Oryzias latipes: one gene and its partner. The protein of the gene in region 1 interacts with the protein of each later gene in a pairwise test. Links are inferred from orthologs where the notes say so. Each region holds a gene or a part of one and is shown on either strand. Other genes may lie near its edges.

Region 1 (4,303 bases):
GAATGAAAATAAAACTTAAAAGGTAATAATTGGCAAAAAAAAATAGAAAGAAAAATGATCAAAGTTGACCATAAATAAAGATTTTTGTGAAAAATGCCAGCCCCGAGTATCAAACCAGCGAGCTTCTGCACCAAGGATTCCCCGTGTATTTCAATGGAGGCAAAAATCATGGAATATCTTGAAAAGCTCAAGGATTTGAAGGAACAACAGTCATACCTGGAAAAAGCTGAAAGAGCTGAACATTTGAATGTTTAAAATAGCTGAACGATTTTAGAAGTTAAGCGGCAAAAAAAATTAGCAGAAGATACTAAAAGAAAGAAAGAGAAATGGGAAAACAAAGGCTTGAATACCTTATAGCTGGAACATGGAACGTCTATCAAGCATCCAGGAGATAAAACAAATGAACACAACTGTTGTGAGACAGAAGAGGTACGTTGGCAGCTGTAGAAATGATGGAACAGACAAACCGATTCAGTGGAACATCAATGGCAGGATGTCAGACTCCAGGACTCAAGGGCCGTTTTTGGAAATCCAAGTCTGACTTACTACCAATTACCTGGATCCAGGTTGGTTTTACCTTCAAGAGGTTACTATGGTAGGTTATTTGACAAACATGAAGGACACTGGCATGGGGTCAATTTTGCATCAGCTTAAAGTGAATGAAAAAAAAGAGATTTTAAATTTAAATTTTGAAAAAACTTTTAAACTCGAAATTAAACATTGTAAACTTGAAGTATCAATAAAAAATGTTTTTAAATAAAATTATAAATTGGAAAAACTGCACTTGGGGACACTTTTAAAGTTTTCCCAATTTTTCAGACTGACTGACCTTCATTTCTTACAGTAATGGTGGCCACTCGGTTTTCTGTACTTAGCTGCTTTTTTTCTTGCCATAATACAAATTTTAACAGTCTATTCAGTAGGACTATCAGCTGTGTATCCACCTGACTTCTCCACAGCACAACTGATGACCCCAACCCCATTAATAAGGCAAGAAATTACATTTATTAAACCTGACAGGGGATTTCAGGTGACTACAAAGCTCATCAAGAGAATCCCAAGAGTGTGCGAAGCAGTAATCTAAGCAAAAGGTGGCTACTATGAAGAACCTACAATATGACATACTTTAAGTTGTTTTACACTTTTTATGTATATAATTCCACGTGTGTTAATTCAGAGTTTTGATGCCTTCAGTGTGAAAATACAATTTTCATAGATGAAAATAAAGAAAACTCTTTGAATGAGAAGGTGTGTCCAAACTTTTGGTCTGTGCTGTATATAGAATTTACCCATAATAATACAAAGAAGAAATAAGTAAACAGTCTTCCGTTTCATTCTGTCTCTGAACGTAGGGAGGCGTTCTGGTCACGTGATAGCGCCACCAGGAAGTAGGTTCGCTTCGGTTTGAGTCGGGTCCATCCGGGCAGCGGGACAACAAAGTCGTCTTACTCTGCAGAGGCCGAATGACACCCGCGGATTAAACGAGGTCCTCACCTCAATGTGTTCTTAAATAAATTGCGGCAGACATTTCCATTCAGTTCACGGAAATGGGATCCGGCTAAATGTAGAACATTCTAGAAACACCGCGGACCGCTGGGGTTTCCAGTCCGGAGAAGGTGCGAAGCGGCCCGCGGCCGTGAAGCAAAGCGGCAGCAGCAGCCGGACGAGGAGCACCGAAGGCGGCCGCTATTGTGCGTTCAGACGGCGTGATTACCCTGTAATTTTTATATTTTGAAGCAAGTTTTACATTTGGCGTATTGGTAAGTCTGTAGCTTACGTTGACCCAGTGTTGTGTAGTGTTTTAGCTCCAATTTGAGCGTTTTCGTTGCAAGTGCTGCTAGCAAGCCGCTAACGACAATAGCTGCCGAGAGGAGCGTTTGATTTCAGGACCCGTTCTGCGCTTCACACGGAGAGACGGAATCTGTGGCTTAATAGTCCCACATTCTATGTTAATTATATGCTTCTGATATATAGTCAGTTGTGTGGCGTTCTTACTCCGTAGGTCGTTTGATATAATTCAAGTAAGTTTGTATTTTAGACCACAGTCACGTGACAGGCACATAAACATAATGCCCTAAAACAAACGAACCCCTCTGCTTAAGCTAGTTACTAGCTTAGCTAATATTTACTCTTTTAGTGTTGTAATTATTTGTTTGACGCCCGATATTTTATTTAAATGCATGTGAGTCGCATTGTTTTGTATATTGACAGGAAGAATTGGACTGTCTTGTGATTTTTGGCAACGAATTCAGACTCTTCTTTTGTCCGTTACCATTATAGCCTCGTCCTGGCTGCTGCAGTGCTTCTCTGTGTTGACATTTGAAACCGGCTCCCAAATGGCCTAAAGCAACAACCCCGTGGCTGTTTGCTGACTCATCTAACGTGGCTTGGCTTTGTTGTAGCAAACTTTGGTTAAATTACAGTTATGAATCATTAATATTTATACCCCCCCTCCCCCGTTTAGATCCCCACCTCTTTCCTCAACCTTCCTGATTCAATTCTGGGGGAGATCACATCAGTACCATCGCCAAGATAGCCGGCCCAGGCAGGAAGAGGCACACCTCAGATCCAGACCCCAGCAGCAGTGGTAGCGATTCCAGCGACGGGCGGCCGGTCAGCGCCAAGTGCCAGAAGATGGCCAGCAGTGGAGGCGGCGGAGATGGTCATCGCGTTGGGGCTCAGCAGAGAGGAGGCAGCGGCTCGGACGTGTCCTCCAGCAAGAAGAAGCAGAAGGACAGGGCCAACCAGGAGAGCAGAGAGGCCAAGAGAGCGGCAGTGGCGGCGGCGGCAGTGGATGGAGTTCTCGCCGAGGTCAAAAAAGGTAAGAGTCAAGCATTTATGTAGCTGAGAAATTCTTTAAAGTCTTTTTATCTGGCCATTTGTGGCATTTTTTCTAACGATGGAGGACATGTAAGACAGAAAATTTTGCTCAAAGTATTATTTCAAGAGTATTTCTCTATTCAAATTGTGAATCAGGAGCGGACAAAAAATATCAATTTGACTTGGGGAAGCGTTGAAATACGCTCCATCCTGCTCAGCTCCATTCTGATTAATTTTTGATTTTAACAAATGATTCACGGATTCATGAGCGTCTTTGTTTTTCCTGGTCTGAGTGGGTACCTGGCTCAAAGCTGTACGGCTGGATAGCTTCAATATTGCTCGCCATTTGTTGGACCAGTAATGTCAGGTTGGGGTAAGCATGTAAACGGAGAGCTCTCAGCAGAGTGGCAGGATACAGATTTTTTTAAGTTTAAGTAATAGGCTAAAATCTGCATAATAATGATTAGAAGACCACTGCTTTGAAAATAGGTCAAATGATGATCACTGGGAATATTGTGTAAATTGGAAACGTTATATTCAGCGTTCGAAATAAGCGGTTATCCGGTTGTCCGAGACAACCAGATTTCACAGAGGACAACCCAAAAATGAACTTGATGGTTGTCCGTGTGACAACCAGGTCTTTTATTCAACATTTTGGTATTTTTCAACTATTTTTCAAGTTTCAAGGGTTAGTTTTTGGCAACCTCTGAATTGAGACGTATGCAGCAAATTCTTTCCACTGACAAACTAAGTGCGTGCATGCTAGCGAATCTTTTCTGTTTCTACATTTTCACTTTTCAATAAAGATTATTCAAAGGAAGGTGTTGAACAACAGTACCTGGCGCGACCGCTAGAGGTCTCCAAAACAAGTTCAAAATAATCAGCCCATTAACAGAAGATTTAAAACACATTCATAAAACACTTTAACTTTCACTCATAACAGAACAGACTGACACGAGCTGAAAAAAAATTTTTTTCCATGGGATTTATATGATACTATAAATTTTTACTTCAGTCTTTGTATTTTATATTTTTTGAGCAACAATTATCAAAACCAAAGAGAGAAAAAAGAACCAATATATTTGAATCTGTGTAAAGATACTAGTTATAAAGATATTACTTTCAAGTTTTTGGCAATACTTTGTGTAACCAGATGCTTCAATATTTAGTAAAAAGTTTGTTTTTAATATTTAAAGAGTTTTTCAAATGTCCATCATAAGAGGCAGTTGATATTAGATGTATAGAAGAAATAAAGATGCAAGTACTGACATCTGAGTAGGTTTCATTGCTGTTGAATATTGGTATCGAAGGACAAGCAAAAATTGGGGACGAAAACCAAACATTACTTGCCAGGTTACACCCCCCCCCCCCCCCATTTCTAACGCTGTACAGTATATGCAGAGGTTCGGAACTAGGGACCCCCGCCAATACAGAGGGACCCCCCCCCCGCAGCCTAAGAATGTCCGTCACCGGCTCTTACTCA
Region 2 (3,247 bases), on another chromosome or scaffold:
TCGGAGCTTCATTGTTTTGTTCACTTGTTCCACGGTCTGATACCGGATTCTGTGGAAAGCTACAGCGCTAAAGACGAGCTTTAGCTGGAATTTTTGTTAGAACTGAGCGACTTTACGAGCTCAATCGGGACAAGGAAGTGAAGACTTTAAGCACTTCTGATTGGTCAGACTGATGACATGTGATTCAGCCCCCCAAGAATGATTGGTGGAGACAGTTAAAAGGGCGGGACTTTTCCAAAATACAGCCGAAGCTGCAGCTGAATCGCGGTAATGTCATTCTTATCAAAATGTCTTTAATAAGATAAAATAAACGCAAAGAAAAAGTATTTAACAATATTTTATATTCCTAACTCCTCAGTGTTTTATCAGGGCCTGTTTGGATGAACAGAGAGCTGAAATCCTGGATATGGGAAAAGTTTTTAGATCAGTTAATGAGGGCAATTTCCCACGGCACACTTGACCATCTCCCACGGCACACTAGTGTGCCGCGGCACACTGGTTGAAAAACATTGGTCTAGATAATGGTAAAGTGCCTAGGATAGCACAAGGGATACAGACAACAGTTCTTGATGAAAGCTTTCATTCATGAAGCCACAGTAAAAAAACGTTTATTATAAGCTGCTTTGAGTCAAACATGCAGCACCTCAGATGGAAAACTGCTTTTTGTCTCATGAACAGCACCGCCTGCTGCTGCTCAGTCCATCTGCACTTACAAAACATCGGTTCATCAAATCCAACAGAGGGTTGGTTTATGAGACAGACATGAAGGAATGAATTATTTCATAAACACAGGCTCCGCCTTCTTCCCAGTTAAAATCATGAGGTACAAGAAAACTGATATTAAAAGAAGAGAAACAAAGAAATGAATCAGAAGTGAAAAGAAACATTTTATAATCGTCTGTCTGATCACACAGACTTTAGTTCGGAATTCATCCAACAGTACAAGGAAATCTGAAAAAGCAGAAATCGCCAGAAAATGTCTGAAACCGTGGAAGAAACCTAACGGATTCTTCCGGCGCGTCTGCAGGGCCAAACACCCTTTAATGCCGCTGCAACCTCCGGTTCGGCCGCTGAAACATTCAGTGCAGCTGCGGGAAATCTGAGGAGGCGGAGTTTACCTCGAAAACCTGAGCTGCTTTGATGCACTGGCGCCCCCTGTTGACGTCACGTGGCATCATTTGCATAATAATTTTAGGGTTGCTATGGTTACAGGTTGCTGATTCAGACTGCAGGACACTTGACTGAGGTGGTCCTTTTGTGGGTCTGAACGGTTCTGGTTGCCCTGATCGGTGCTCAGGCGGTTTTGGACCCTAAGGTGGAGCTTTGTGCGGCTCTGTCATGGAGCAAGTACTTCCACTCTCTGTTCAGAACTGACGTGCACGCTCATTCGTGCACTCTCATCCGTGTACAGATCTGTGCGCTGATCCAACCGGGCTCGTCTTCATCAGCGGCGTCAGGTCATGACGTCTGCGGTGGCGCCGCAGAGCTGGACTTTGTCGCTCGTCAGCACATGGAGATGGTGACGTTGATGCCCAGGTTCCCGCTGTCTGCAAAGAGGTGAGCGATGGAGGTGTCGAACACCAGACAGTCGCTGTTCATGATGGCGGCTGCCACGCCGTCGTGGATGGAGCGTGGCGTGGCTTCCCAGGTCAGCCGGCGTCGGTTGCCATTGAGCTCCAGGCGGTAGGCGAAGTTCTCAGCTTGTTTGCGCGTGCCGATGAGGAGGACGACGGCGAAGAACTGCTGGTGACCTTCATACTTCTCCTGCTTCTCCAGAACCAGCATGAAGTGATGGCTGAAGCACGACTGCATCATGACCCAGTCCACGGCGCCCGGCAAGTTGATGTCTGTCGCCAGGAAGACAATGTCTTCTCCCTGCAGACAGGAAGAAAGAAAGAAGACGACGGACTCAGCATGGGAGACCTTTATCCTGAAGCAGACTTCATGAGGAACAATCTGTCCTTTCTGAGGAAGTTCTAAGCTTCAGGAGTTTCAGCTGATCTGCAGTCATCTGCTCCTCGAGGGAGACGTGCTCCTGTCGGTTTAGGTCCGGCAGGTTTCTGAATGAACCTCAACTAAACAGGACCCAGAACCAGATGGTGACCAGATCCATCTGCTGCTTCAGATTAGTGCAGCAGATAGAAGGTTAAGCAGGTAAATGGCAGAAAGATGGTTCCTGAGGAAACAAACAGGGAAGTCCTCCTTCATGAATCACCACGAAGGAGGAACTTGCTGTACGTTTTGGTCTGATGTGACCTTTAAGAACAATGAAGATCTGGTCTCTTCTTCCTTCAGGCTAATGCTGAGTCAGGGATTCTCACGTTAAAAAGACATGACAGAAGCATCAGGAGTTCTCAGACCAGGATCTGCACACGGTTCTGACCTGCAGCGTGGTGATGGACTTGTGGGCGTGCATCAGGTGAGGCATGACGGCCTCCAGCGAGCCGTGCCACTTGCAGGTGGCTCCTGGACACGGACAGGTGTACGGCCGGAACTCGCACACTTCCTCGTGGTCAGGCTTCTCGCTGTGGTGCAGAGACAGCAGGCATCCGGCAGACGAGTACTGCAGAAAACAGAGCGGGCGTCAGCTGGACGCCAACATCAGGAGCCCCGGCGAAGAGCAAAGGAGCAGGAAAGATGTTCATCAGCAGATAAGCAGCTGCTGCACTTCACCAACTATTGATTATTTCACAACATTTTTCTCATTTTTAAATATCGGGAGACAAAAGAAAAATACCGACCACATCTAGTCATAATGTAGAAATGATCCTGAGATCTTAAAGTGTAAGAATTCAATCCCATCATACATTATGTACTTGATTGTACATGCTGGATGGAAAAATTAAGATGACTCATGAAAAACATCTGAAAATAACAATCTAATCTAATCTAATCTAATTATCCTCCTGAAACCTGAAGACAAAGGCCATTACATCCAGAATCCATTTAAGTGTACTCCAGTTTCCCACCATGCATTGCAACTCCAACTTCGCTTTGTTGAAAATATCCCACTCCACTGACATATTGCACACTGTTGCCACGGTAACCACAGTCAACGCTTCCATCTTTGAGATGAGGAAATAGTGATGTGGTGTCATTTTTTAAAGGAACAAGAAGCTTTTTGCACGGCAGTCATTTCTGTGTACGACTGCACGTGCACAAACTCCAGCTCTGAACCACCCAACGCAGCAGATCAAATAATCAACCAATCAGCTGAGAGCTCTGAGAGGAAGTCAGCCTCTGTAGA

Evidence for each region.
Region 2: the proteins of usp19 (region 1) and E3 ubiquitin-protein ligase Siah2 interact in a two-hybrid assay, tested with the Homo sapiens proteins (2 studies listed by BioGRID). The link is inferred for Oryzias latipes from reciprocal best matches to the Homo sapiens genes USP19 and SIAH2.

Annotation. Positions count from the first base shown.
Region 1 is NC_019865.2:4,266,786-4,271,088, reverse strand, and holds the start of usp19 (ubiquitin carboxyl-terminal hydrolase 19), read left to right. Parts: upstream 1-1,380; 5' UTR 1,381-1,691; exon of another isoform or gene 1,692-1,760; intron 1,761-2,464; 5' UTR 2,465-2,634; coding exon 2,635-2,821; intron 2,822-4,303. UniProt on the Homo sapiens protein: Deubiquitinating enzyme that regulates the degradation of various proteins by removing ubiquitin moieties, thereby preventing their proteasomal degradation. Stabilizes RNF123, which promotes CDKN1B degradation and contributes to cell proliferation.
Region 2 is NC_019872.2:23,473,375-23,476,621, forward strand, and holds the end of E3 ubiquitin-protein ligase Siah2, read right to left. Parts: intron 2,564-3,247; coding exon 2,384-2,563; intron 1,876-2,383; coding exon 1,504-1,875; 3' UTR 583-1,503; downstream 1-582. UniProt on the Homo sapiens protein: E3 ubiquitin-protein ligase that mediates ubiquitination and subsequent proteasomal degradation of target proteins.